Linked DNA regions of Oryzias latipes. The protein of the gene in region 1 purifies or fractionates together with the protein of each later gene. This does not show direct contact. Links are inferred from orthologs where the notes say so. Each region holds a gene or a part of one and is shown in the gene's direction. Other genes may lie near its edges.

Region 1 (4,536 bases):
TTGGGGAGTTTTTCCTTACCGCGAAGGGGGGTCTAAGGGCAGGGATGCCAGTATAGCTTAGTCAGTTTGTTAGTTCATTTTAGTATTTTTCTATTGAACTCTTTGTATACGTGATCCTTTTGAGTTCATGTTTTACTTCGAAGCCCATCGAGACGACTGTTGTTGTGATTTTGGGCTATACAAATAAAATTGAATTGAATTGAATTGATCCAGATCCAGACTGATAGGATGATGATGGAGAACCAACCAGACATTGTAGTGGTGGATAAAGAACAGAGGAAAGCCGTTGTGGTGGATGTGGCAGTGCCAAGCGATGGAAACATCAGGAAGAAGGAACATGAGAAACTGGAGAAATACCAGGGACTCAGAGGAGAACTGGAGAAAGCCTGGAAAGTGAAGGTGACAGTGGTGCCTGTGGTAATTGGAGCACCGGGGGCAGTAACCCCCAAGCTGGAGGAGTGGCTACAACAGATACCTGGAAAGACCTCAGACCTCTCAGTCCAGAAAAGAACAGGAACAGCTAAGATACTGCAGGACCCTCAAGATCCCAGGCCTTTGGTAGAGGACCCCAGCTTGGAGGAGAAACCACCTGGGGAGGGTGAGAGGGGCGTATTTGTGTCACAATGAAAATAGAAATAAGATCAGAAACTCGTGCGTTTACTTTGTCTGTTCTTCTACTACAAGCAGAAACTCTTTCTTTTGCTGATGATGCAGCCGTGTTACTTTATTGATGGACCTATAATCTTCATACGCCGTCATTTAAATCTCAGACTCCGTCTGAAGTATAGCGCTCTCTTTTTTTCTCCACGCGTTTTCATGGTGACTCCAGAAATCGGCGATCCATTGAGAATGTCTTTATGTACCTGCTGTGCATTAACCCAGCGTTACCAAGTGGAGCGTAATTACGCCAACTCATATCCGGTCTTTAGGAACCAACATACCCAGAGTAAGCAAGTTCAGCCAGAGTTCAGGGTTAAAGTCAGGGGAGTTTAAACGGGCCTTCTGGAATACCCCCCAGTACACTTGTAAAGTTCTCACTCATTTTTGTCAATTTCCATGCGGGAACCTCCCAAATGGATAAATAAAGTTGTCTATCTATCATGCATGTGGAGAACATGCAGACTCCTTACAGAACTGAGTGTTGAACACTCCACTACCGTCACCATCAACTTTTGAACATAAATGTTGCTAAAATCCTACAGTCCTTCTGGAGTACTGGAATAATCCACCTTTGGCAGGTTTTTAAACAAAGATGTTTTTATTAACAACATTGATAGTAACATAACAAAGATAGCGTCCTTCACAGTCAGTATTTGGTTTGATGAAACTATCAGGAGAAACAGAAAGAATTACAAAGAAAATATAATAAATAAATAAATGCAAACATAACTGATATATATGGATGAGGATTTCTGAAGAAGAGAATGAAAAGGCTGAAGTTTCCCTTAACTCTCGTTTGTGTTTCTTAACAGGAAGGAAGGCGCTGCAGTTCCCCTCCCGGCCTGCGGGGGCAGCAGCGCGGCGATCTTCATAAAGCGGCATACGGCGGTTTCCGGTTGTCTGCTTGCGCTGCGTGAACACAGTGCGGGTGAGTTGCGGGTTTATTTTTCTTTATTTTAAAATCTTTGGTCTGTTTTGGGGCTGACAGACTTGGAGGGGTGCGACTCCTCCGAAAGAAAAGCCGCCACGGTCGGTTAACGTTTTGAACTCGAGCGTGGTTAGCCTCGGAGCTAACGGATGCTAACGCTAGCGCCTCTTTCAAAATAAAGTCATAAAATCAAAGAAATCTAAGTTCTCGCAAAAGTTCTCTTATTAAAAACTGTATTTCCAGATAATTTTTTTCTCGTATCTGGGCACGTTAATCGTAAGGCTTCATTGTTGTCCGAAGCTTTTTAAAAACTAGTCTTCATTCAACGTGAGGCTCTGAGCGCCTGTCCGTTTTCCTGATCAAATCGCTTCATCATCTTCTTCTCAGACTCCATCATGGACATCCGACCAAACTACACCATCTACATCAACAACATCAACGACAAAGTCAAGAAAGAAGGCAAGTGACCTGCTCAGAAACACGGATCCAGCAGCCTCACCTGTAGCCTCACCTGTAAACCTCCACCTGCAGCCCAACAGGCTGACGGTGTTTCGGGAGGATCTCAGTCTCAGTAAATGAATCATTATAGGGCGGGAAAAGCATTGGCGTTCTGTTCACACTCCAAAAGCAGGATTCGTTGGTCTGAACAGGTCAAACTTGGGTCACTGGCAGTTTCAGCAGCACCTCACAAAAACCCTCGTCCAGAACCCTGGATTTCATGACCCGGTTCTGTCAGAGTTCCAGCTCACAGAGACTCTGAGAGTTTACGGATCAGAAAAATGTCCGTCATCGGAACAAAACCAGGCCTTTGTTTCCTGCGGCCGTCTGTTTACAGGCAAAGGAACAACGTAAGGAGGAGGGCGTCCGTCCATCTCCTAAGGCATCAAACTGCAGCCAGAGTTATTGAACTTTCTGGATTAGAGCAGTCTGTTGGCATGAGAGGCACAGCACTTGAATGGTCTGAGTCGTACTTATCTGATATGAGGTTTTCTGTCCAACTTGGTCAATTCTCATCCACAAAGGCCCCACTCGGACACGGGGTTCCTCAAGGCTCAATTTTAGGCCCCATTTTATTTTCGTTATACCTGCTTCCACTCTGCACCATTTTTGATCAGTGTAATGTGGCCTATCGCTGTTATGCAGATGATATCCAGCTTTATCTACCATTAGAATCTGGGGGGCCCAGTGTGTAGAGAACCCAAAGAAGAGTTTAGAGGATGTTGAAACTTGGATGAAGTCAAACTTCCTCTGCCTAAATGAACAGAAAACCGGGAAAACTGATCTGACAGAATCCAGCGGCCTGTTGGATCATTGAACTCTGACCTGTCTTCTAGCAGAAATCTTGGGGTTATTTTAGTTTTAAATTTGATAGACATGTTAGTGCTGTGGTCCAGTCTTGTTTTTATCGTCTCCGATGAATCAACACAGTAAAGCCACACCTCCCTCATGACACCCCGGAGAGGCTTGTCCATGCCCTCATCTTCTCCACACTGGCCTGCTGTCATTCCCGTTATTCTGGGAGGGAGCCGTCCCTCCTCCGTCTTCAGCTGGTCCTGAATTCAGCTTCAACCCGTGTCCTAACGGCGTCCAGACGGCGTGATCACATGACCCCAGTACTACGCTCTCTGCACTGGTTGCCGGTATCTTTTAGAATTGATTTTAACTGTTTTATTTCTGACCTTTTAAGTGTTTAAATGCTTTAGCACCTCTTTATGTCACTGAGCAGCACCATCGTCCTCTTAGTGGTCTGCAGACCAGAGGCTCCTGGTGGTCCCAGACCTGGACCTGTGACTAAAGGTGACAGTCTTTTCAGTGGCTGAACCTGAACTCTGGAACCGTCTCCCTTTGTCTGCCAGCTCCTTATAGGGTTTGAAATCTTTGTTAAAAACTCCTCTTTTTTCATTGGCTTCTAACACCAGAGTAGATGACAGTCAGACCGGCTCTATTAGTGTTTATTTCACTGTTCAGGCGCTTTACAAATAAAGGTTGGATTGATTGAAAGGACAAAACGGATCCTGATGGAGGCGGATCCCAGCAAACACAGGTCTTTCTGTGGGTCGGAGGAGAACTGTTGCTGGGCTGGTTCTGGTTTCGCTCCTCCGGGTCTGATCTCTGCTCTTCCTCCTCAGAGCTGAAGCGCTCGCTCTACGCGCTCTTCTCTCAGTTCGGCCAGATCCTCAGCGTGGTGGCGCTGAAGACCATGAGGATGAGGGGGCAGGCCTTCGTGGTCTTCAAAGAGCTGGCCGCCGCCACCAACGCGCTGCGGCAGCTGCAGGGCTTCCCGTTCTACAACAAGCCCATGGTGAGAACGCGCAGACCCTCAGGATGACCCCCCGCCCCCCGCTGACTCTGTCTCCCTGCAGAGGATACAGTACGCCAAGACCGACTCCGAGGTCATCGCCAAGATGAAGGGCACCTTCGGAGACAAGGAGAAGAAGAAGGAGAAGAAGAAGAAGGCCCAGGAGCTGGCAGCCAACGCCGCCAAGAAGCCCGCGGTGAGGCGCGGCGCCGTGCCCCCCCCCCTTTACCGATCCGTTTGTTTGTGTCTGACTGTGTTCTGTCTGCAGGCTGCTGCGGTTCCTGGTCTCACGCTCGCTCTCCAGGTAGGGTTCTTCATCACTGAGAGGATGAGGAGGCTTCTTCAGGATCCGTGTTGTGAGGATCCGTGTTCTGAGCCTCTGCTCTTCCCAGGTTCCGGATAACCCCCCCAACCACATCCTGTTCCTGAACAACCTCCCCGAGGAGACCAACGAGATGATGCTGTCCATGCTCTTCAACCAGTGAGTGCCCCCCCGCCGCCGCCTCCTCCTGGGTGGGCGTGGCTTCAGCTCTGCTCTCTCTGCAGGTTCCCGGGCTTTAAGGAGGTGCGGCTCGTCCCCGGAAAACACGACATCGCCTTCGTGGAGTTTGAGAGCGACACGCAGGCGGGCGTGGCCAAAGACGCCCTG
Region 2 (3,778 bases), on another chromosome or scaffold:
AGTCGGTAACAGCTGTTTCGTCCCGCATCGCGTCACATGGTTCAGGCTTCCACGGCGTGCGTTCATTTCTGATAATGAACACTTCGTCAGCCATTAACCCTTACTTATTAATCTTTTGACCAACTCCTCCACGCTCGTTAAAGTCCCATATGTTGCGTTTCTTATTTGAAATTAGCCAAAGAAAGCTTCATCCTTAATGTGTTTGACTAAACTACCCAGAATGCCCAGAGGCGCCAAGAGGCAGAGGATTGGTCAGAGAGGTTCGATGGGAGGTTTTCTGTTTGAATTCCCTCCTTAACCCCTAAAAGACTATGTGGTGTCTCGGATTTGTGGTTGTTTTTGTTTTAAACCCCACTACGAGTTGTAGGCGGGAATCTTGGTTTGAAGCAACTCGGCCCCCTCTGAGTACTTTGTTTAAACTCTCCCACAATAGCTTACAACCCCTTCCACCCCCCCCCAACCTAACATTCCCGGTGCAACAGAATGTTGGAGCTGTCCGGCCATTCGGTTCTGAGGGGGGGGGGGGGGGGGGGGGGGGGTTGAGGGGAGCAGGGAGATGGTAGCTTCTACGTCACCAACAGGATCTTCTTCCAACTACTTTCTTTTGTTAACGATTTGAATAAAGAAATACTCACAAATGCAATTTCCACCTTAATGGGTTGAATCAAGCCTTCAACCATCGTTTTCCTGTTTCTCTCTCTTTATTTTATTCATTTTTGCAGCTTATCTCCTTCTGCTACTTTTTTTTAACCATTCAACTATTCAAATGTTCAGCTCTTCAAATCCTTGAACTTTTCCAGATATTCCAGGATTTCCAGGGTTTCTGCCTCCATTGAAATACTTGGAATCCTTGGTGCATAAGCTCGCTGGTTCGATACCCGGCTCTGGCATTTTTCAGGATTGTTGTTGTGCTGTTTTCATTTTATTTATGGTCAACTTTGATCATGTCTTTCTTTATTTTTTGCCAATTATTACCTTTAGAGTTTCATTTTCATTCTGAAGTAAAACATTCAACCTGTATTGGCTCCTTCTAGTTGTCTTTAACTGTGTCCTCTATCATCAGAAACGCCACGTTCATCAGAGTGGGTTTCTACAGTGATGCTTCCTGTTGTTTAGCTCCACATTTAGCTCGCTGTTGATAAATGTACCCGTCATCCACCCCTTCCGTCCTCACATCAGCATTTGCCTTCATCTCTTTGTAATAACCGTTTGTTTGTTTGTTTGTTTTCTTCCTCCGTCCGTCAGCGGATGCCTCCAAAAAGTCTGAGTCGAATCCGCTCACGGAGATCCTGAAGAATCCCACCAAAGTGGTCCTGCTACGGGTTGGTGCTCCGAATCGCGTCCGTTCAGAGTCCGCGGGGCTTTCCTGGGAGCTGAAAACCGCCTCGTGTTTTGCAGAACATGGTGGGCCGAGGGGAGGTGGACGAAGACCTGGAAGGAGAGACGAAGGAGGAGTGCGAGAAATACGGCAAAGTGGTGAAATGTGTCATATTTGAGGTGAGACGGAGCGTCCCGGACGGAGGGGAAAGGGGGTTTGAAGAGGCGCCTGAAAGACTTCTGCTCTCCTGTCAGATCGCAGAGGTTCCCGACGACGAGGCGGTCCGGATCTTCCTAGAGTTCGAGAGGGTGGAGTCCGCCATCAAAGGTGACTGTCGCGGACGGGCGCTCGAGGCTCTGGTTTCATAACCGCTCCGGTAACGCCGGCGAAGGCGTAACCGTTCTAAATGAGTCGGCCCAGATCAGAAAGAAGGTGAGCCTCGGCTCCCTGAGGTGTTATATCATCTGTGGCCCAGCAACCCAGGCGCTTCCCTGCGGCACCGGCAGAACCGGGCTTACATCACCGCTCGCAGAAAGTGGGGCAGACCAAGGGAAGGGTTACACCGCTCTCCACACAGTCATTCTCACTAAACAGACGCCAGCTTTAGGTTTATGCTGTAGAAACGGAAAAATTTTCACTTTTTAACCCTTGTGCTTTCTGGAGGCACGTTGGGAGTGGGGTCATCTGGACCCCACCAGATAGCACAAGGGTTAAAAATAAAATGACGTCTTTTAATAAAATTCTGTGTTCATCGTCGTCCACAGAGCAGACGGTGCCGTTCCGCTCCGTTCTCCAGCCCCTCTCTGTTTTTTTGTTTTTTTTTACTCACTTCTGAGGGTTGAGTGGTTGCCTGGCAACCAACACTTCATCCCCAGAGTCTAAGACAAAGAGCTTGTGTCCGAACTCCTTCACCGCGCACCATACGGGGCATGGCACCAGTTTACTGGGACGTCCGAATCTACAATTTCTTAAATTCCATCGCCCTAGAAGTCTCAGCAAGAAAAACAACAACAACAAAAAAAGCAATCTACATCACTGCTCACTAGGTTGGTGAATATAGACCACAATGCATTGCGTTTGAGCGATTTTTCATGAAAAAAATAGTATTTTTAATACATTTTTTCATGGACCATCCAAGCTTCCATCACCAGAACAAGAGTTGAATCACAATCAATCTTCGTAAAATGTTTGTATTTGTTCGGATTTTATTACGGAAATTGGTGACGTTGTATTTTTAAAGGGGGGGAAAGAATGATCATGGTGTCTGCTTTTAGAAATCATTAGGTTAGGTTTTAGGTTGCTGGAGCCTATCCTAGTTACTGCTGGGCAAAGGCGGCTTTCAGCCTGGACAGGTTCCGTCACAGGACACATTCGGATCATATTTAGGGAAAAGACTTTACTGTTTCATGTTGCAAGTTCCCTGGTCCCTTCTGACTGGACCCGAGTACAAACCTGTCAGTTTGCCCCCACCATCCAACTTCCTGTTGTCTCCTTCCTCTGAACACCAAAACACAAACGGATGAGAGGAAACGAGCCATCAGACAGACAGACAGACAGACAGACGGGAGCTCCAAATGTGCACAGGAAAAAAGAAGAGTTCCTAAAACAGCCATGAGAAGTGCTGCTTCAAACGATACTTCACACTACTTCTTTAAGTCACTATAAAGCTCTTAGTGATGATTCTCTTCGACCTATAATAATATAATAATATTAACTTTATTTATATAGCACTGTTTCGAAATCCAGATTACAAAGGGCTGTACAATTAATATGAAACAAAACCAGTATTAAAAACAGTTTCCAGTATGGAGAAATAAAACCCAGTACACATATGAAATGGTGATAGTGGTTAGAATCAATAAAATCGATAAATCAGTAAAATCAAGAAAATCAAGAAAAAAACAATGAAATCGATAAAATCAAATGTTTAGATTTAAGAACCAGTAAAATCCTTAAAAGCACACCTGTAGAGGTAAATTTTTAAAAAGATTTAAATACTGGTAGGGACCCAGCGAGCCTGATCTCTTCAGGGAGACTGTTCCAGAGTGTTGGGGCTCTTACAGCAAAGGCCCTGTCCCCAGAATTAATTTATCCCTGAAGCTTCAGCTCACGAAATTCTAAAGCGAAAAGAAGCGGTGTAGGGACCTTAACCATTCAGCCTGCAACACCCGTTCGGGGTCCTGGGACTAGTGCTGACGTCCCATTATGTGATTGGCTGTTCGTTGGTCCGATGACGTGTCAGATAGTCATTGGTCTGGACAAATAACGATACCACCATAGAAGAAAATATTATGCAGTCTGTTGTAAACAAGCAGAGCTCCGACACGGAGTGAGATCATCTTCTAAACACGCTTCTAGTATTTTTACGATCAAGTGCCTTTGCAGCCGTACGGACTGCGGTCAGAACGCTTCTCCGGTCCGAACACTGAAACAAAGAACCGTCCCCGCCTGCAGCTACGA
Region 3 (4,451 bases), on another chromosome or scaffold:
ATTCTGTCAACAGAGTTAAAATAGTTTCACTTTTATAGCTGTTAAGATTCTTTTTTTTTTGGTTGATTTGTTTACTGCAAACTCATGACAGTTTGCATATTTTGCCAACAAACCCAATTTTTAGTGCTGCCCAGTAAAGCAGCAGAACATGCATTATTTATAAACTTTAGTGATGTTCTTCCTTTAAAATGGAGCTTCTTTTAAAAAAAAAAAAGGAACGAGGTTGTTCTGTTTCTTATTCTGTGTCATAAATAGCATGAAAGAAATTATAAAATATTGGAATCACTGAAAAATATTGTAACTTTACTTGATTTATGTAGCACATTTAGTAATACTGACGAAGCAGGGTTTTTTGCACACGTGAATACATGGCCACTGGTCACATACTGACATCTGAAAACCATCAGACCATTCCTGTCTAATGTAAAACTTTAATGTAAAAATTTAAAAAAACATTCAACCTCCTGAGAACCGAGGAAAAAAAGTGTCTTACAATTCCTGTTTTTATGTGATTTCCTATCTATTTAGGCCTAGAACACCTAACAATTTTAATTTTTTTAAAAATATTTTTTATTGTAGATAGAAGACAACAGGATGATATTTCTGTGAAAATAGAGATCAATTTGGAAAATCAGAAAAAAGGAGCAGATTAAATCTTTAGAGTGATATTCACCCAAAAAACATTAGATGATCCTCGAAAATATTGTTATCGATGTACTGTGAAAAGTACGAGATTGGACTCCAGTATTCACAAACTTTGGGGTCATCTTGAGCGGGGCGCCCTGCTAGCACAGGTGTAAACCTGTGATGATGTACGTTTAAAAAACACAAAAAAAATCAAGTTAATAAAAAAAGCAGTTTTTTTTTTTTCCATTTAAACATAGTACAAACACTACAATGTTCTAACATGGTCATAAAATGTAAGACATTAGCCTGAAACTAAATAAAACATGCAAGTTAGTCCTGGTCCACAGAGCACGAAGACTTTGCTGCACCTTCTCTGACTCATCAGATTCTCCTGAATTATCATCTTCTTCATCTTCATCATCACCTATCACAGACTGAATCTCACCCTCCTCATCCTTTTCATCATCCGAAAGCTCCAAATATGAATCAACCTTCGACTATCTGGTACAGAATCCTCTCAGCTTCACTTCTTTCACCTAAAAATAATGTGTAGCCATTAAATAGATTAAAATGGTCCTGGTGTCCACTACAGTTGACATTCATTAAATGCCTGCTGTTTTAAAACCGAAAACCTGAAACTGTTTTCAGATCTAAAAATATTGTTCCTAACCTGTTTATGACCAAGAATATATATAATTATCATTGTAAAAAAAAAAAAAAAAAGGAATAGATACAGAATATTTGACTTGCCTTTCACCTTTCCATAAAATGAGGTTTTATATGTCGTTCACTTTGGTGTCCACCTTTACCATCGCGTTAGGAATAAAAAGTCGGAACAAAAAAAACACCGTCTCGGTTTCTCACCGGTTTGTTAAGTCGAAGGCAAACCGGAAGCCAGCTTCTGCTCGTCGCGGTGTGTTCGGACGGACGCAGTTTTTATCATCTTTTTCAAGCTTCACCTGTTTTTCAAACCCGCGCTTTTCAAGTAAGTTGACCTTTTATATGTATATCATCGATGGCCACATGGAAGTTGCACCGCTGGCTACGAGAGAAACTAAAGTTCAGGAGTTTAAATAGGTTATTAGCCGAGACCCAGGCTAATGATATAGGATCAAGCTAACAAAGTAAAATGTAACTTTGTTTTAAAGGGATAGTCGTGCTTTCAAAAACGGTCATATACCATAAATGGTAAATATCTGCAATAAAGTATGACACGATTTTATTTAATTTCTGGTAGTTGTGCATTATATTGATTTTCCTCATGGGAAAATTATCCATTGACTCTCCGAGGAGTCCTTTCCTTAAGACCAGAATTTCTAGCAGTTTAGCTAGGCTAAAAGGTTCAAATCTGCATAGCTGTGAGAAATCCGTCGTTTTCCTGTAATTCTAACAAATCAGTCATGCCTTTGTTTTTAATTTGTCACACTAATTCAAAACTTGTTTCATGTTATTGAAAGGGATGATAATCTAAGAAATACAGAATTTGTTGGTGTGCAAACAACAAAACAAAGCTTTTGTATTTCATTATGTCAAAGTAAACTGCATATGATCTGGAGAAAAGGGACGTAAGAAACATAAGGGGAAAAGTCTGTATTAGACATTCAACTCTACGGTTTATTAATATTTTTGTTTTTACTGAATATTTTATTTTGATGTTTATACACACCACTGCAAAGTATAGTAATTTAATAATTATTCTACTTCTACACTAGTTTAATAATAGACTGGTGAATGGGTATGTGTTCAATGTGTCCTATAAGATTTTTGTGGGGATGCTGGGTAAGTAAAGGATAATAGCTGACAAGGTGTCTTGACAGTTTAAGCTTCCTTGTCGTCCGTTAAAAGACGGATAATGACCTTTGAGGTGTCCATTATCAGAAATTATACCATGGTACGGGTGAATACTCAATTCTGATTGGCTGCTGAGTGTGCATTAAAAAAGTGATAACCGCACGTCTAAAAAAAGAAGTTCCAGTTACATTGCTTAGATGTTCTGTGTCACTGCGCCGGCTTTTTTAAAACAGACATTTGTTTCATCATCTGGATAAAAACAAGCGGTGAGCGGTGAACCTTCATTCTGAACTGATGCTTTAATTTAACATACACCATCATGACGATCAGCTTATTTATGGCTTTTACTGCTGCAGTGGAGGTCGGTGCCAGCTCAGCGTGTTGTCATGTTACGGTAACGTGACAACACGCCACACCATGTTGCAAAAAGTCCGCTTTTTTTGAAAAAAGCAACGTAAACCGAAAAAATAACAAGAATAAATGACTAAAAACTGATTGAAAATGTATTTGTTTTGTAAGTGACCATGGTAAAAGCAGGATAATCAACGCACTAATAATCAACGGAAGCATCGGGCAGTTTGGGTTTCCACGGCGTGCGTTAATTTCTGGCAACGTATACTTTGTTGGTGACTATCCCTTACTTAATCCCCACTCAGCAGCCAATCAGAATGGAGCATTCACCTGGACCATGGTATAACTGACATTCATTGATATATTTGAAGTTTAGCAGTTGGATGTGGTAATCTTTACTTTCAGATGCTCCCCACTCATTGGAGAGACACATAATAGAATTTTATAGGCTTGTGAAGTGTATTTACCATTAGCCATGTTTATAACATTTGCTTCTTAAAGGTTTAATTTATTTACATGTACCACCATATAATATAAAAAAGGCATTATTTTGAGTTTTTTTTTCCTTCAAATTATTTTGTTTTTATCTTTGAATTGTAATTTTCCTCACAAATGTCACAAGAATAACTAAAACCTTCTTGTTTATGAGTTTATCTGACTGGATCGTCTGTTTGCTGAAGCACAATTCAAATCTCTGATTTACTTTCTTTCTCCCAGAGCCTGTTGACTGATCTCAGAGAGAATGACTGACCGATACAATATCCACAGTCAGCTGGAGCATCTCCAGTCCAAGTACATCGGAACAGGGCATGCTGACACTACCAAATGGGAATGGCTGGTGAACCAGCACCGTGACTCTTATTGCTCCTACATGGGTCATTTTGACCTGCTCAACTACTTTTCCATCGCTGAAAATGAAAGCAAAGCTCGTGTTCGCTTCAACTTGATGGAGAAGATGCTTCAGCCATGTGGACCACCTGCAGACAAACCCGATGATGCATAAAACACAGCCCAACCAACTGCTGCAGCTTTTTTTCCCTCTTACCTTTTCTTTTTTTCAGTTTTGGACGGTTGTTTGTTTCTAACCTTGAGGTCAGAGCAGCCAGTAAAATCTGGTATTCATGTGTTCACTGAAGCTATTCTCACTTGTTTGATCGGTGAATACATTAACTGTAGTGCTTTCAGGAAACGAATGAGAATGACGACACCTGAACTTATCCATTTCAGAAAATGTTAAAAATGTCCAATATGTGCACAATGTTGAACTGTTGTATTTCTAATGAAAACATTATTTTTCCTTTGGTTAAGCTCTTTCACTGATCATTTTATTCTGGAAATATGTCAGTTTTCTAAAACGCATTTAAAAAAGTGAGAACGTTTAAATGAATAAATCATCCAAACAAGACGTTTTATTGTAAAAAGAAAAAGACCAAAGTCATCCTTAGGACTTTGTTGAAGGAGCAGCAATGGCTATAGCAGTGGTTTTGTTTTTGCTTAAAATATATGATTTTGTTTTTTACTTTTTACAAATGCCTTCAAAAATAATGCATCTTTAGATTGAATATTTGCCAATTGTGTTTACCTATAATAAACGTCTTAGTTACAAGTACTGTTTTGTTGTGCAGGCTTTAGTCAGACACAAATTTTAATTTTTTTTTGCCCATCAAAATATATATGATAAA
Region 4 (3,821 bases), on another chromosome or scaffold:
TTAATTTTCTTAATATATGTCCTCCATGATCAGAAAAAAATCCACAAGAAAGACTTGTTAAAAACACAATTTTCTATTGAATAGGTCTTTAAATTGTCATGCAAGCTTTGCTAGATAAATATTTGGACTTTATTTGTTCAGGCTTGCCTTGAAATTTTTCATTTCTAATATCATGTTAACTCAAACTACTTAGCTAAATACGTTTTTTTCTATTGTCAGTCCTACAATGAGTTTATTATTATTATTACTTTCTTATATATTTTTATGACTTCACAATTTTTGTCGTAACTATGGTCAAAACTTAAACAATTTATCCAATCGGACCGTCAGCAGCTAGCACAGTCCGCTGGCTAAGCTAGGTTAGCCATTGAGGACGGGTTTCTGTAAACGGGCGTTTTGCGAATAAAAAAAAACAACTAAAGTCAATACGAGGAGTTCGGCTATCGTTTTGGTTTACAAAAAATGTTAAACTAAAACTCACCCGTTTATTCATCTCAGACTAAGAAAGCTCTCCTCGCCGAGTTGGTCTTCAACCGTCGATCTTTTTCCACGTCGCGAGACTTCAATAAAACGTCCCTTCTAGATTTTCCTCGAGAGACGCCAGTTTGCCGTTGGAAAAACTCCCGCCGTAATCTGCAACCGTTACCGGACCGAATCATCAAATCCCACATGGCGCCTGCGCACTAATACTTTTTCTTTTCTTTTCGTTTCTTTAACCCATAACCTGTTAATTGCAGAAAATAAAAGCACAACAGTTCAACAAATCATTACCCCATGTTGATTTGTTTTCTCATAATTTTATGACTTTATTCTCATGTCGTCGTTTATTTTTCCTCTTTTATATTGTAATACTTTATCACAATTCTATTTAATATTCTATATATAGTTTTTTTTCTCCGAACATTTTAGAGAAAAAATATTTTTTATTTGTGGTTAGATTTATAAAGGTGATTGTCATCTCGCTTTTTTTTTAAATGTCACAAAAGAAGAGGAATCGAGTACTTTGAATTAAGATCTTTTTTAGACTGTATTTTTTTAAAGAAATTAAAAGCACAGCTTTGTTTTCTGTTTGTTTTTTTATGAGAGATGGTTATTTTTACTAACTTCCCCCTCATAAATATGTATAGAATTTGGATTTTATCTTTAAAGAAAAAAAAGACACAAAAGGGGAGTAGATTCATTTTAACGCCAAAACCCCAATTGTGGGTAAACAGGTCAAACTGCAATTCTAACTAGTGCTCAAATCTCCAATATTTTTCTCCAAAAAAGTTAAATACATAGATTTTGTCAGTGTAGGGAATTTCCTAACACAAAAATGACAAAAAAAACTGTTTTGCATTTTATTGATGTTTATAAGTAATTTTACTTTTCCCTACACATATATCTCATTGCACAACACTTTGATGAGAGAGGTACACATAAGTCTTTTTATTTCTTGTGTCTTGTGAAACCACAAAACCACTTTCATGGCCATGTTGATTTTTTCTAGGTCAAAGAACAGAATTACAAAGAAATTTAAAAAAAGTTGTGTTAATAGTATCTCAAAATGTGTGTGATTCCTCTTTTAACCACACGAGGGAAGCACATGCCTATTGCTGTACCTATTGGTATTATCCGTTAACCGGATGTTCGTCTTCGTTTTGTCCCTCCATTTCCTGGTGAAGGCTAAAGGCATTGCGTGTTTGTTGTTTAGCTATTGTTCAGACGAAATAAACTGTCATCATGGCTATGCAAGCTGCGAAACGCGCTAATGTAAGGTCAATTTTTGTGTTTAACTTTACTATATAACAACGAGTATATGTTAATATGGTTTTTGGTGCTCACGAAAGGGACAATTAGCCCTCCGTTAGCCTTTAGCAGCTATTGGTTACTAAAAGATAGCGTCGCTACGTAAAAAAATTAATAAATACGGCATTTTGAAAATGAGATGGTAAAATTGATTGTTTTGTCATCTTAAAATTTTAAAGAATTATTATTGTTTTAGCACGTTAGAGGGTACACTTTAGTGAAGAATTCTTATACCGTTTGTTTACATGCTAGTCTTTCTGTTACACATTTCTTTTTTGTGTGCTGCAGATTCGGTTACCTCCAGAGGTGAACAGAATCCTATACATAAGAAATCTGCCTTACAAGATCACGGCTGAGGAAATGTACGACATTTTTGGCAAATATGGACCCATACGTCAAATACGAACGTAAGTGTTTTGTCTTCATACCTTCAGTTTTATTTGTTTATTTTTAATTTAAAAAAATGTCTGTCCTAAACACACAACCACGTCTACTAACAATGAATATATATAAATGTAATTTTTTTACATGGTAGTATTAATGAGAAGCAAAATTTATTTAAAAAATCGTTTCATTCCAAACTGTGGTGTAGCATTTGCTTAAATTTGACATTTAAATCATTATTAATCATATTAAAAATGCTTGTTTTGTTTGTTCCCCTCACATGTTATCATCATTTAAGAGTCCCTCTTAGATCACTTTTTCATATGTTTTCAGACAATAAAATAAATATGTAAATAAGCTCAATATTCTTTCATATATGTTGTCCTTCATCAGAAAAATGCCATGAGAAAATGTTTTAAAACAGTTTTCATCAGAGTGGGTCTTTAAGGACAATATTATTATGGAACAGGTTAAGATGTGTGACCATTTCATGCTTTTGCTGTATTTTAGGGGTAACACACCTGAAAGCAGAGGAACGGCGTATGTTGTTTATGAAGACATATTTGATGCCAAGAACGCTTGCGATCACCTGTCAGGCTTCAACGTCTGCAATCGTTACCTGGTTGTTCTTTACTACAACGCCAACAGAGTACGTATGCTTTTTATTTCATCCATTTACAACCTTTTTGGTTCCTTGTTTGTTTGTTTTTTTCTGTTTACCATCAACCCGCTCATATTTTTGCAGGCTTTCCAGAAAATGGACACAAAGAAGAAGGAAGAGCAGTTGAAGCTCCTAAAAGAGAAATACGGCATCAACACAGACCCTCCCAAATGATCTCCACGACTATCAAAACCTTCTCACACACCTTAGATTTCTCTGTACCTGTACAAATGTTCCCTTTTTTGAAAATTTTTGCTTGGTCAGGTTTTTGTTTTGGTGCTTTTGTCAACCTTTTATGCATGACCTGCCGTCTGCTTTTTTTAAAAATGACTTCTCTGATGTTAATTGAGCTTTTAATTTGAAGTGAAACCAGGCATGTTTTCAGTTCAGTTCTTTCCCCCCCCCCCACATAATTTTATTTGAAAGTTAACAGGTCTCTGCCTTGTGCTCCAAGAACATCAATGGATGTAATGTTTGTTTAAACCCATTTATTGTAAAATAAATGTCTCTTTTTCTTTAAACCCATTGTCTTTTGTTTTATAAACACCACATATGAACTCACTTTACTCTTGTTTTGTAAACCTGTCACATCAGCTAATTTTTCTTTTTTCCCCCACATTTACACACAAACAGAAAAGTATCTTTTGAGAAGCTGACCGTCATTCAGTCTTTTCCGTCCATCCATCTTAACCTGCTATATTTGTTGCTGGAGCCTATCCTAGCTGTTGTAGGGCAAAGGTGGGGTACACCCTTGTTTACGGAACAGTCAGCCAGAGGACCTGAGAGCTGCAGAGAGCATAGCTGCTTTTAAGAAAAGCTTCAAGACCCATCTTTTTCAACTGCCTTTTAGCAAATGTTTTAATAGTTTTTATTTATTTTGAATTCTTTAATTTATCCACTTTATCATATTTTATATTTTTACATGGGACTATCCATTTGTTTTAAAATTCCTCATTTCACATTTTATTGTTAAGTATTATTTCTTTTT
Region 5 (3,444 bases), on another chromosome or scaffold:
AGACTGGCGGCGAGTTTCTGCCGTTTCAGGCTGAGACTGGCGGCGAGTTTCTGCCGTTTCAGGCTGAGACTGGCGGCGAGTTTCTGCCGTTTCAGGCTGAGACTGGCGGCGAGTTTCTGCCGTTTCAGGCTGAGACTGGCGGCGAGTTTCTGCCGTTTCAGGCTGAGACTGGCGGCGAGTTTCTGCCGTTTCAGGCTGAGACTGGCGGCGAGTTTCTGCCGTTACAGGCTGAGAATGGCGGCGAGTTTCTGCCGTTTCAGGCTGAGACTGGCGGCGAGTTTCTGCCGTTTCAGGCTGAGACTGGCGGCGAGTTTCTGCCGTTTCAGGCTGAGAATGGCGGCGAGTTTCTGCCGTTTCAGGCTGAGACTGGCGGCGAGTTTCTGCCGTTTCAGGCTGAGACTGGCGGCGAGTTTCTGCTGTTTTAGGCTGAGACTGGCGGCGAGTTTCTGCCGTTTCAGGCTGAGACTGGCGGCGAGTTTCTGCCGTTTCAGGCTGAGAATGGCGGCGAGTTTCAGGCTGAGACTGGCGGCGAGTTTCTGCCGTTTCAGGCTGAGACTGGCGGCGAGTTTCTGCCGTTTCAGGCTGAGAATGGCGGCGAGTTTCTGCCGTTTCAGGCTGAGAATGGCGGCGAGTTTCTGCCGTTTCAGGCTGAGACTGGCGGCGAGTTTCTGCCGTTTCAGGCTGAGACTGGCGGCGAGTTTCTGCCGTTTCAGGCTGAGAATGGCGGCGAGTTTCAGGCTGAGACTGGCGGCGAGTTTCTGCCGTTTCAGGCTGAGACTGGCGGCGAGTTTCTGCCGTTTCAGGCTGAGACTGGCGGCGAGTTTCTGCCGTTTCAGGCTGAGAATGGCGGCGAGTTTCAGGCTGAGACTGGCGGCGAGTTTCTGCCGTTTCAGGCTGAGACTGGCGGCGAGTTTCTGCCGTTTCAGGCTGAGAATGGCGGCGAGTTTCTGCCGTTTCAGGCTGAGAATGCCGGCGAGTTTCTGCCGTTTCAGGCTGAGAATGGCGGCGAGTTTCTGCCGTTTGTCCTGAAAGCAGCTGAGCTGCACCGACCCTGAAACTGATCTTTATCTCCAACAGCACAAGCTGTCTCCACACACCGACCTCAGCTGGAAGCCGGATGGGAAAGTCGTTGCCATCGGTAACGAGGATGGGTGAGTTGTTTTCACACGTGAACCCTTAGAAACGCCAACCAGACTTTTTGATCTAATGGTTAAAACATCTGAAGCAGAGATGAGGAGCGGTGGAGCTTTGAGGTTTTCTGTCAGGTTGCATCACAAAGTAAACATGTCAAAAGTTGCTTGTTTTCCTGGAAACTGGCCTCTTTCACCGGTCTTTTCATCTCTTTCATCAGGTGCATTGATGTTTTCCAAGCCCCCAACCTGAAGCAACTGTGCAGCGTCCAGCAGCACCACAAGATCATCAACTCGCTGCGGTGGCATCACCAGCACGGCTCCGCCTCAGAGCTGCACACGCTCCTGGCCTCGGGCTCCAGCAACGCCATCGTCTACGTGCACGACCTCCGCTCCGTGATAGGTGGGGACCTTACGTTCACAACAATAGTCACATGACAACACAAGCGTCCAATAAACGGCTCCAACCTGCTCTGAATCCTCCCAGTTACCCCACTGTCAGAGAGGATATGACCGTTTCTGGGATCCCTTCAGAATTCTCATCTTCTTCACCTTCATCCCATTTTGTTGTTTGGTTTCCTTTGGATCAGTTTATCAAACATCAACTGTCGTTCAGGACGAATACTTGCAGTTTGGATGTAGATTTAATATTTCCAGTTTTGAAACTTAGGTCTACAACTTTACACGAAGACGGATGGATGGATGGATAAATGAATCGTCAGATGGATGAATAGGTGGATAGCTGGATGGTTGGATGGATAGATGGCAGTAATTCCTTATGGAACCCACATCTTTACGAGTCTTCCTGGTCTTCAGAGAACCCTCCAGAGACTCCTGTGGTCCTGACGGAGCCGTACCGGCGGTTGTGCGGTCACACAGCCAAGATCACCGGGATGGCGTGGAGTCCACATCACAGCGCTCGGCTGGTCACGGCCTCGTATGACGGCACGGCACAGGTCTGCTGCTCCACACAGGTGAAGCCAAAATGCTGTTCTGAGGTCTGATGGGCGGGTCTCGTTTCAGGTGTGGGACGTCCTGGAGGAGGCGCCCATCTCTAACTACCGGGGTCACGTGGGGTATCTGCTGAGCGTGGACTGGTCCCCCGTTGATCCAGACGTGATCTGGACCGGAGGAAAAGACTTCACCGTGCAGGAGTGGAAGGTCTCCCAACAGGAGTTCACAAAGCCACCTAAAGGTGACGATGAGGCTCTGAGGGGGGATCCAGCCAGGTCCTCCTGCTCACGACTGACATGTTCTCCTCCCAGGGAGGAAGATGAGCACGCTGCAGGAGAAGAAGAAGTCCGGCTCCAAGCAGAAGAAGAAGAGCAAGAGCGCGCCGGGGCTCGGAGGAGATGTGGTGCCAAAGATGAACGGCGACGGAGAGAAGGATCTGTCTGAGGAGGAGGAGGAGGAGGTCGGCTCCACGAGCAGCATGCATCCTCCAGGAGGTGAATGCGTCTGAGGCCTGAAGGATTCATGTCAAATCGCATTTTTCTAATCATTTTTTCCTTTTTTTAGCATCTTTGGAGAAGAAATCCTCATCTGTCTCCAGAAGTAAAGAGAAGCCACCAGGTTTGTGTCTGATTCTTGTTCAAACGGCTTTTTCTTTGGGTTCTGAACATGTCCCTTGCTGGCTCCGCAGCAGATTTGAGCCTCCTGAAGAAGAAGAAGCCTCGCTCCATGCTGCCCCTCAGCACGTCCATGGACCACCGGCCCAGGGAGGAGCTGCTGCAGGACTGCGTCACTCTGGCCGCCGTCAGACACGCCTCAGGTGAGAGAAAACTGGCAGATGGTCTCCAAATGCAAAATAAAAATGTCAGAAAACTTAAACGAGCTTAAGTCTTCAGTTCGACCCTTTTTTCACAAAGCAGGGCTGATTGTGTGTTTTCAGCGCCACCTGCTGGCTGCAGCCCGGGACATGGCGACCATGTCCACCTGGGCCTGTTTGCAGACCGGCGGGCTCTGCGCCTCATGCTGGAGGCAGAAGGTTTGTTGGTTCTCCCTTCCTGGCTTTGGGCGTTTCAGCGTAACGTTCAACTTCCTGTCGACCCTCAGAGGAAGGTCACGTGCAGGCGGGGCACTTCGACTCGGTGGTGTACCTGCGGCTGTGGAGCGGAGACCTGCAGGGGGCGCTGCAGCTGGCAACGGAGAAAGGAGAGCTGAACGACCACCTGCTGTCCGTCGCTGCGATGGGTAAAGAGCGGGAAGATGCCGGTTGAAGTGTCTGTGCAGACGTCAGGAAGCCAGTTTGATGCAAAAAAAGAGAAGGTTTTGGCTGCTGCTGGTCTAAGAGCACTAAAAAACATTTCTCACA
Region 6 (4,443 bases), on another chromosome or scaffold:
TTGCGCTTCTCTGTGCTTCCTGCAGTGAAAACTCCAGTTGTTCTATATTTGTTTGCTGTTTTTCTAGTTGTTGTTCAAAATCCTTCTGCACTGTTTTTAGTTGAGATCTGATGGCCTCACGATCCGTTTCAGCTGCTGCTACTCTGTCTTGGAGGGGCAGTACCGTTCCCCTCACATCCTGCAGGTGTTTTGCCAGCCTGCGCATGTCTCTGAGCTGTTCATTGGCCCACTGTGCAACATCACCTGGAGTCAGATGTCCCACCCTCACTGTCTCATCCACAACTGCTGAGAGAGGCTGCAGAGATGAGGGTAGACCTTCACTTTGAAACAGATCTATCAAAGATTCTCCAGTTTTTCTCAAAAGAGATTGCACTTGGTGACATGTACCACAAGGGATGAGGGACGTTTGTGCAGTCTGGCAGCTGACATTATGGGAGGCAGTTTTAGGATGGAATGAGGTTTGTTCGGGGGAACTGATGGTGATGTTATTTTGTGGGAGGAATTTAAATGAGCTTGTGGAAGACCAGGATATGGAAGAATGCCTGGAGCAACTTGTGCTGGATCTATTGAGAGGGGACTCGACGTTTGACTCATCAGATTCCACTGAATTTGTCTTTTCTGCAATGTTTTTGAAGAGTTCCTAAAAAGACATAAAAGGCATTTAAAGTCAAATACTTTTGCATGTGTTTTTATCCCTGTGGCATTACTAGAAAAAGAGGTTTCTTTACCTTTTTATCTGCAAATTGAAGTAAATCCCCCCAATAATTCCTGACCACAAGACCAACTGACATGCTGCCTCTGTGTGCAGCTCCTTCTGGTCTGTGGACCCCCATCTGTTGTTCAGCATAAACGCTGACGCTTTGAAGAAGAAACAGGAGCCTTGTTGGGGAACAAGAACATGCAGAGATGCTTTTAAAGTCATTATATATATATATATATATATATATATATATATATATATATATATATATATATATATATATATATATTTTACATGCAATACAACATTAGGTTACCTGTCAATCATCAATTCCAGGAGAATAATGTGGGAATGCTGATTGAAGTCATCTTCTCCTGCCACGAAGTCATATTCCTCCAACAAAGCAACAATGTCTAGATGACAGGAAAGTTTGTCCGGGAATTTCCAGGAGGAAGCGCAGACTGGTCCTGTTCTGGAGAGCACGTCCAGAACCGCACCCTGAATATCGATGAGGTCTTTTCTTAGATTCTTGATAGAATCCTGACGACCCAACAACAAACTCATGTCTAAAACGCTTATTTGGCGCCTATAAGTACTTGTTGACGTGAGGTCTCCTTGGCAACAGTTAACTCCAAGTCCCACAGTTCTTAGCGGATATTTCCGGAAGTAATTGGCCGCCATTGCGTTAACGAAAACGAGACGCGGTGAGTATTAACGTCGACAAATAAAGAATTATAGCTGTATTAGCTATTACTTTTTGACTTACAGAATTTTTTTTAAAGAATTCATTTCAAAATATATGTGTGTTGCTTTAGTGTTTTCAGGTAAAATTGGTGATTCGTTAAAAAGACGCAGCCATGCCGCCCGGGCCTGTTCAAATGGTTCAGCCTGAGCCTAACAACAAGGTAAGGACGCTAACTAGCTAACATTAGCCTCAGATATCCGTCGCTTTTCTTAATGATTTATCGCCTTATAAAATTCGCCCCCTTTATGCAAAGCTTTCTAAGCCTGTCCAAAATTAAATGCTAATGTTTATAAAGCTGTAAAACATATGGGGCAACGTTTGCGTCTATATGTGTGGCCCTAAAAATTCCCAAGTTGAGAAAGTCAATAAAATTAGGTAACAGATATTACTTAAACTATGATTGCACTTCAATATTTGGTATCTTTGCATATGGTTTAGACTAAATGTGTTAGTTGTATTCTCAGGTTTTTAATGATCGAGTGGTTTAATGTTTAAATTGTTGCAGTGTATCTTAGAATTACCTAAAGTAAGTCTTATTAATTAATAAGTGAATTGATAATGTTTGTGTAATAATATTTTTAAGGAGGAACTTCACTGTACTTGATGTTATTTTTAAATATAAATATTCTTACTTTGAACCTTCTCTTGTCAGAATGATACACCTCCGGAGGAAACTCCAGCCACTAAACCTATTGTTGGCATCATATATCCTCCTCCTGAGGTCCGTAATATAGTTGACAAGACTGCGAGCTTTGTTGCCAGGTTGGTTGCCAAAGAACTGTCACGTACAGCTGTAAGAGGTGTTTGCTATCTGTAGTTTGACTCTATACTTGTCACTTTACAGGAATGGGCCTGAGTTTGAAGCAAGAATCCGTCAGAATGAGATCAACAATCCAAAATTTAATTTCCTCAACCCCAACGATCCCTACCATGCTTACTACCGCCACAAAGTCAATGAGTTTAAGGAGGGCAAAGCTCAAGAACCGTCCGCCGCAGTGCCCAAGGTTATGCAGCAGGCTATGCAGCAATCTCAGCAGCTTCCACAAAAAGTAAGGACTGTCTATTTACTGTGCCCGGACCTACAAGGGTTTATATTTATACAAACTTGCCTTTTCTTCATCAGGTGCAGTCCCAGGTGATTCAGGAAACTGTGGTCCCCAAAGAACCGCCTCCAGAGTTTGAATTCATAGCTGATCCTCCATCAATCTCTGCATTCGATCTTGATGTTGTGAAGCTCACTGCCCAGTTTGTTGCACGAAACGGCCGTCAGTTTCTCACCCAGCTCATGCAAAAAGAACAGAGGAACTACCAATTTGACTTTTTGAGACCCCAGCACAGCCTTTTCAACTACTTCACAAAACTGGTGGAACAATATACCAAGGTAAAGGACAAAAATTACAGCTTTCTTTGTTTTTTTATTGAAACTGTGTTATTGAACTTTTTTAAATGTTGCCTCAACCTTTAGATTCTGATCCCCCCAAAGGGTCTGCTGGCCAAACTAAAGAGAGAGGCTGAGAATCCAAAGGAGGTTATGGACCAGGTAATTTATTTTAGCCTTCAGAAGATTATTTTCTATGTTTAAAACTGTCTTGTTACAAACATCAGGTGAGATACCGTGTTGAGTGGGCAAAGTACCAGGAGCGTGAGAGAAAGAAGGAGGAAGAGGAGCGAGAGAAGGAACGCGTAGCCTATGCTCAAATTGACTGGCATGACTTTGTCGTGGTGGAGACTGTGGACTTCCAGCCCAATGAACAAGGTAGCATGACTATAGGAACACCAGGTCCAGATGTTGCAAGAACCATAGTTATTAATTTATTCATTTGGTGTTTTTCCAAGGCCACTTCCCCCCACCTACCACTCCAGAGGAGCTTGGTGCTCGAATCCTCATCCAGGAGCGCTATGAGAAGTATGGAGAAAGTGAGGAGGTGGAGATGGAAGTTGAGAGTGAGGATGAAGAGGATGAACGGGAGAAACGAGCCGGAGGTCAACCCTCACAGCCTGACCAAGACACACAAGTGCAGGACATGGATGAGGTAAACAGTTATCATTTACTACATTTATACAAAGTCCAACACTTGTCTAGGTTTCTTGGTTACTTGTGTAGCAAATTCACAAATTTAAAATGCTACTTCTCCAGGGATCAGATGATGAGGACGATGGAATTAAAGCTCCACTTCCACCTGACAACCCCATGCCACCTCCTCTGCCCCCGACTCCAGACCACGTCATCATTCGAAAAGACTATGATCCCAAAGGTACATTTTTTTCTGTGATTGAAATATTATGAAGTATAAAAACAAGCAAATAAAACAAGCGGTGCATTAAAACTTGTTTCCTTTTTTTTTTTTTTTTTTCACAGCCTCCAAGCCTATGCCCTCAGTTGCAGCTCCAGATGAGTACCTCATTTCACCAATCACTGGTGAGAAGATCCCAGCCAGCAAGATGCAGGAGCACATGCGCATTGGTCTGCTGGACCCACGCTGGCTGGAACAAAGAGACCGCAGCATCAGGGATAGACAGACAGAGGATGAAGTCTATGCTCCTGGTCTGGATATCGAGAGCAGCTTGAAGCAGCTCGCTGAGAGGCGTACTGATATCTTTGGTGTTGAAGAGACAGCCATTGGTAAGAAGATTGGTGAAGAGGAAATCCAGAAGCCAGAGGAGAAGGTGAGTTCCGTAGAAAGTAGCATGGTTTTTGTGAAAAGCATCATTTGAACTCGTTTTTTTATCAACCTGATAGATTTTTTGTGAATACGCGTTCAACTTTTGTCTGAACTTTTTGGATTCTTGTGACGTGTCCAGGTTACCTGGGATGGCCACTCTGGAAGCATGGCTCGCACCCAGCAGGCAGCGCAGGCCAACATCACTCTACAGGAGCAGATCGAAGCTATTCATAAGGCCAAAGGCCTGGTTGGAGAGGATGACACTAAAGAGAAGATTGGTCCAAACAAGCCAAGTGAAAATCATCAGCCTCCCATGCCCTCTTCTGCAGTCAACT
Region 7 (4,399 bases), on another chromosome or scaffold:
TTTCAGACTCCTCGTCGTCATAAAATCTCCCACTGACAGCTTGAGTCCGTTTTCTTCATCTGAAACAGCCGCTCAGGCGCCTCCAGCTGCTGTCCAGCCGCTCCGAGCTCTAACCTTGCGGTTAACCTTGTTACCTCCAACCAAAACTGCATCGCTAAACCTTAGCCAGACTGATTTCATTGTTTAACAGAGAATATGTGAGATAACATACTAAAAACGGAGGCGTTATAGGGCAATAATATGCTGGGGTCAAGCTGGTTCTCGTCTCCTGGGTCGGGTGCGTTAGGGACACGATGACCTGCCAGGCAGCTAGCTAGGAAAAACCTCTGCGTTCATCCGTTAGCTCTCGGTCTTTTAATGAGACCGGGAAACTGTACACGAGATGTTAAATCTTTTCATGCAAATCGACACTTCGCTGCGGGGAAATTCACACTTAAAAATCACAGTTTTTAGGCTCTTACCTGGAGCCGTGCGACGGTGAGACAGTAAGATGCCATTTTGTTCACTGACAAAGATGTGAGATCGCCGTGACGTCACTGATGTATAAAAGCTTCTTTCTTCTTCTTTGGTTTTTCGTCCAGTGTCGTATTTACTGCTGCCCTCTGGTGGAAAAGCCTGGAAATACAGCTGAATTTTATTTCCTTTCTAAAATGTACATGTTTACATGGAATAAAATATTAAAGAAATTGTGTCAATATGTGACAAAATGTGTCATCAGACTCATAAGAAAAATATTGGTCGTCACATCAGCAGATCTAAAAGAAATAACGCATTGCTTGAATTAAATTTTCCATACATACAGGATATTTGCATCATGTTTTCAATTCAATGGACTAAAAGTTTAGGTTTGTAAAATGGTTGTTAATCATTCATATGTGCTTGATTAAACAAAATAAATATAGAAATATGATGGAAATGTAACATTTTTATAAATTAATGAACAAAGTTAAATAAGCTAGATTTTCTGTTCATCAAAAAAGTTGCGCAATAGTTAGAAAAAATTTTATTTCTTCAGCAAGGGTATGCATTGCACACCAAAGTACATTTTTACTCAAGAAAATTTTAATTTGATGAACTGCAATTAAAGTTCTCAAACAGGTAATTTCCTCCTCAAGCTGACATGTTTATTTATAAAGTAACTCTCTCATAATTTTATATATTGTTCTGGTTTTCAGAAAACATTTTAAAAAATGAATTTAAAACAGAAAATTTCATAAAAAGGTTTTAAAAATTGGAAATGTAGCCTATTTTAAAAGCAAAAAGGGTATTTATTTAAATCTAGTATTTATAAAAAAAATGTAAATAAATATGTTGGTAACATTTTTTATTTTTACATTTTCAAAACTTAAATTAATTACTTTCATTATCTTAAATATTATAACTCGTGTTTATGTTTTATTTTGTAATTTAAAAAATAAAATAGTACATGCTTCTGTCCAGTAGGTGTCAGTATTGGCCATTTAGCTGCTTTTAGCTTCCACCGACACGCAAGAAGAAGAGTCAGCGGAGCGTTGGGTTGTCGTTAGCTAACATGGCTAAACATCACCCAGATCTGATCTTTTGTAGAAAACAAGCGGGAGTTGGTAAGTTTTTACGTAATTATTTGTTTAGTGTCTGAAACCTTAAAGTTCGTCGCAGGTAATTTGACACATTCGTGGTTTACTTTCAAAGGTTTAGCGCTTTGTTAGCATGTATGGCATGGGGTTTCAATGAGACTGTTAGCATGGTCGTGTTAGCCTAGTTTTGTGTTTGGAGTCGACATGTCTAAATACCTAGTTTTTTCTATTTAATTATTTAAAATATTAATCCCAAACTGTGTAAATTACCTTATTAACTGTATCTGTTTTCATCACCAGCTATCGGGAGACTTTGCGAAAAATGTAAGTTTTTTTAATTGTTTAATGCTATCAAACGTTCAAAGAAAGAGTGCATGTAGATATCATTTTATAGGTAATATTTATAAATAACAAAAAAAAAAAAAACATATTATAAAGTGATTCTTTGCGTGCGGCCATCCCTGATTTGTTCTTCTTTTTTTTTCTGCACGGGCCTTTAATGTTTAATGTGAGAATTATTTTCAGAATAAAAGCCCTCTCTAGTCTAGGAAAAAATACTACAATCCAAAACTTTTCCATTTCTAGAATTTAAAACAAGAAGCTTTCAATGTGAATGGAGTCTAAACTCATTTGTACTTAGTACTTTAAGTGGGAACATAAAGCAGAGTGAAGAAAAAGTCCATTGAATTCCACAGAGGTTTTTTTTCCGTTTGTTGGAAACAAAACCGATACAGTTAGGTTTGGAGGTGTGAGGGGCTGTAAAGGTAGCGTGAGTGCACACAAACAGATGGGTGATGGGAAGGGGGGACGGGCATGCTCCACGCTACCAATCTGCCCACAACTCATAGGTGTATTTCTAATAAACTCCTGCCGCTTTGGAGAAACGACACAGCTTTTGGAAACGTTATGAAAATATTTCAATAGAGGATCAGAGTGGGACTTTAAGCACGGTGGAAGTTTATTGTGGTTTGGGCCTGCTTTCTGACTGAAGCATTTGAATTCCTGCCTCGAAAATCAGTACACTTTTTCTAGATAGAAAATCTAGAATGAAGCAGTCTGTAAAACTAAATAGGAAAGGATGCCGTGGAACATATAGATATGACATTAAAGATGTCTTAAATTCCCAGTCTGGAAGTCTGGTCAATAAGATGAGATTCGAAAAACAGAAGTTTGATAAAGTCCTTCATACAGATGCATCAAAGTTATTATGTCAGTCAAATATTGCTTTAAAAAAAAAAAACATCAACCCAGAGTTCTGAACTATTGTAAACAAACTGTGTTGGCCAATTCTTATCTGTTTATCCTCTTCTCTCTATTGTATCTCCTTCCTGTCTGCATATAGAGCAACACAGATGTTCTTGATCAAAAAACACGAACGATCAGCTGTTTTCAAGTCTTGAGTTTAGTTTTAAATTTTAAAGCGCTTCGAGTTTTAAAAAAAAAAAAGTTTAATTTGATGTATCTGTAAAGCTCTTTGCTGTCATTTCATCAAAGAAACTAGCAGCAGAAACTCAGGAAGTGAGATGCAGCGTCTGACCGTCTTCTTTTACAAAAATAACTTGTTTTAAAGTCTGACTTTAACAATGTTTAAAAGACGGCAGAGACCAACCAGACTGTCCCTGATCTGCTCCTTTCAGGCGATGGGAAGTGCGTCATCTGTGATTCGTACGTGAGGCCGTGCACGCTGGTGCGCATTTGTGACGAGTGTAACTACGGGTCCTATCAGGGGCGCTGCGTGATCTGCGGAGGCCCCGGAGTGTCTGATGCGTACTACTGCAAAGAGTGCACCATTCAGGAGAAAGATGTGAGTCTCTGGGCTCCAGGATCGGCCCTTCGCTGAAATGAACCAATGTTTTTACCCTTAATCTTTTTTTTGTGCAGCGGGACGGATGTCCGAAAATCGTGAACCTGGGCAGCTCCAAAACAGACCTGTTCTACGAGAGGAAGAAGTATGGCTTCAAGAAGAGGTGAAGAAGAAACCCCCCCGGCGTCTGTTAGGCTTTCCTTCTCGTTTCCAAACTTCCAAGAAAACTGTTTTGGTTTGTGAATAAAACTCACTTTTGTACTCCAGTCTCTGTGGCCGTTTGACTGAATAATCCAGTTTTAAAGCGTTTTTTTCTTATCGTTTATACATGGAGGCTCTTTTCTCTCATTCAACCTTGTTCCTGTTAGGTTCCAAGGAAGATCCAGGTCGTATAAATGCAGCCTAAACTTTTCTAGATGGAAGAAAAGTTTCGACATTTTCCTAAAGATCTGAGGAGCTTCAGATCTGGAAGTTTTGGTTTGTCTTTTCTCGTCACATTAACCTGAAATGGAGACAACAGGGAAGAAAAAAACTAAACATTTGAGAGTTCAGTTAAAAAATTAGGGATTTGAGTCCAACAAAATCTACATTTTACTGATCAAAAGTGAGGAAATGATGTATTTAAAGACGTATAATTCTGACTTCTCCCGTCTGAAAACAGGACAGCCTGATTCCTGGTTCTTCAGGATACAAATGAATTTATTTAAATCAGAAAAGTAATTGTAGATGAACTGCTTAAAGATTACTTAAAAGTTCAACTATGGAAAACCTTTAACTTTTTATTTAGCTTTAATAAAAAGGGACAAATTTAAAACAGTGGTGGGAGTATTATGGTTTGTATTAAACCTCAGACAATAAAATGGTCTAGAGATTAATTTATGCAGAAAAACTGAGGGCCAAAACATAAAACCTTTGAATATCAGCATTTTATTCAGAAGTTTTTATTACACATTTATGTACACTCAGACCCAGAAAACAAAATGTTTCTGTACAAAAACTAGGAAGAGAACAAAACTGACCTGTTCCAGAGAAGCAGAAC

Evidence for each region.
Region 2: the proteins of snrpb2 (region 1) and rbm17 purify together in Homo sapiens (affinity purification with mass spectrometry; 3 studies listed by BioGRID and IntAct, with this or other methods). This does not show direct contact. The link is inferred for Oryzias latipes from reciprocal best matches to the Homo sapiens genes SNRPB2 and RBM17.
Region 3: the proteins of snrpb2 (region 1) and sf3b5 purify together in Homo sapiens (affinity purification with mass spectrometry; 3 studies listed by BioGRID and IntAct, with this or other methods). This does not show direct contact. The link is inferred for Oryzias latipes from reciprocal best matches to the Homo sapiens genes SNRPB2 and SF3B5.
Region 4: the proteins of snrpb2 (region 1) and sf3b6 purify together in Homo sapiens (affinity purification with mass spectrometry; 4 studies listed by BioGRID and IntAct, with this or other methods). This does not show direct contact. The link is inferred for Oryzias latipes from reciprocal best matches to the Homo sapiens genes SNRPB2 and SF3B6.
Region 5: the proteins of snrpb2 (region 1) and gemin5 purify together in Homo sapiens (co-immunoprecipitation; 3 studies listed by BioGRID and IntAct, with this or other methods). This does not show direct contact. The link is inferred for Oryzias latipes from reciprocal best matches to the Homo sapiens genes SNRPB2 and GEMIN5.
Region 6: the proteins of snrpb2 (region 1) and sf3a1 purify together in Homo sapiens (affinity purification with mass spectrometry; 5 studies listed by BioGRID and IntAct, with this or other methods). This does not show direct contact. The link is inferred for Oryzias latipes from reciprocal best matches to the Homo sapiens genes SNRPB2 and SF3A1.
Region 7: the proteins of snrpb2 (region 1) and phf5a purify together in Homo sapiens (affinity purification with mass spectrometry; 4 studies listed by BioGRID and IntAct, with this or other methods). This does not show direct contact. The link is inferred for Oryzias latipes from reciprocal best matches to the Homo sapiens genes SNRPB2 and PHF5A.

Annotation. Positions count from the first base shown.
Region 1 is NC_019859.2:709,801-714,336, forward strand, and holds the start of snrpb2 (U2 small nuclear ribonucleoprotein B''), read left to right. Parts: upstream 1-1,462; 5' UTR 1,463-1,588; intron 1,589-1,975; 5' UTR 1,976-1,983; coding exon 1,984-2,047; intron 2,048-3,717; coding exon 3,718-3,890; intron 3,891-3,951; coding exon 3,952-4,083; intron 4,084-4,155; coding exon 4,156-4,191; intron 4,192-4,279; coding exon 4,280-4,368; intron 4,369-4,433; coding exon 4,434-4,536. UniProt on the Homo sapiens protein: Involved in pre-mRNA splicing as component of the spliceosome. Associated with sn-RNP U2, where it contributes to the binding of stem loop IV of U2 snRNA.
Region 2 is NC_019881.2:3,095,011-3,098,788, forward strand, and holds part of rbm17 (splicing factor 45), read left to right. Parts: intron 1-1,245; coding exon 1,246-1,322; intron 1,323-1,398; coding exon 1,399-1,497; intron 1,498-1,572; coding exon 1,573-1,645; intron 1,646-3,778. UniProt on the Homo sapiens protein: Splice factor that binds to the single-stranded 3'AG at the exon/intron border and promotes its utilization in the second catalytic step. Involved in the regulation of alternative splicing and the utilization of cryptic splice sites.
Region 3 is NC_019873.2:17,221,447-17,225,897, reverse strand, and holds sf3b5 (splicing factor 3B subunit 5), read left to right. Parts: upstream 1-1,487; 5' UTR 1,488-1,612; intron 1,613-3,486; 5' UTR 3,487-3,511; coding exon 3,512-3,772; 3' UTR 3,773-4,378; downstream 4,379-4,451. UniProt on the Homo sapiens protein: Component of the 17S U2 SnRNP complex of the spliceosome, a large ribonucleoprotein complex that removes introns from transcribed pre-mRNAs.
Region 4 is NC_019882.2:13,000,143-13,003,963, forward strand, and holds sf3b6 (splicing factor 3B subunit 6), read left to right. Parts: upstream 1-1,599; 5' UTR 1,600-1,722; coding exon 1,723-1,752; intron 1,753-2,076; coding exon 2,077-2,195; intron 2,196-2,682; coding exon 2,683-2,821; intron 2,822-2,917; coding exon 2,918-3,007; 3' UTR 3,008-3,286; downstream 3,287-3,821.
Region 5 is NC_019872.2:29,392,334-29,395,777, reverse strand, and holds part of gemin5 (gem-associated protein 5), read left to right. Parts: intron 1-1,077; coding exon 1,078-1,151; intron 1,152-1,351; coding exon 1,352-1,533; intron 1,534-1,946; coding exon 1,947-2,086; intron 2,087-2,153; coding exon 2,154-2,325; intron 2,326-2,395; coding exon 2,396-2,578; intron 2,579-2,648; coding exon 2,649-2,702; intron 2,703-2,772; coding exon 2,773-2,901; intron 2,902-3,021; coding exon 3,022-3,117; intron 3,118-3,185; coding exon 3,186-3,323; intron 3,324-3,444. UniProt on the Homo sapiens protein: The SMN complex catalyzes the assembly of small nuclear ribonucleoproteins (snRNPs), the building blocks of the spliceosome, and thereby plays an important role in the splicing of cellular pre-mRNAs.
Region 6 is NC_019867.2:18,885,778-18,890,220, reverse strand, and holds the start of sf3a1 (splicing factor 3A subunit 1), read left to right. Parts: upstream 1-1,381; 5' UTR 1,382-1,404; intron 1,405-1,515; 5' UTR 1,516-1,557; coding exon 1,558-1,605; intron 1,606-2,097; coding exon 2,098-2,207; intron 2,208-2,289; coding exon 2,290-2,494; intron 2,495-2,568; coding exon 2,569-2,826; intron 2,827-2,910; coding exon 2,911-2,985; intron 2,986-3,050; coding exon 3,051-3,201; intron 3,202-3,281; coding exon 3,282-3,478; intron 3,479-3,582; coding exon 3,583-3,700; intron 3,701-3,804; coding exon 3,805-4,112; intron 4,113-4,247; coding exon 4,248-4,443. Other genes in the region: ccdc157 (coiled-coil domain-containing protein 157), read right to left, coding at 1-640, 729-879, 1,017-1,381. UniProt on the Homo sapiens protein: Component of the 17S U2 SnRNP complex of the spliceosome, a large ribonucleoprotein complex that removes introns from transcribed pre-mRNAs.
Region 7 is NC_019877.2:2,093,927-2,098,325, reverse strand, and holds phf5a (PHD finger-like domain-containing protein 5A), read left to right. Parts: upstream 1-1,459; 5' UTR 1,460-1,531; coding exon 1,532-1,583; intron 1,584-1,856; coding exon 1,857-1,880; intron 1,881-3,193; coding exon 3,194-3,360; intron 3,361-3,437; coding exon 3,438-3,527; 3' UTR 3,528-3,626; downstream 3,627-4,399. Other genes in the region: aco2 (aconitate hydratase, mitochondrial), read right to left, coding at 462-497.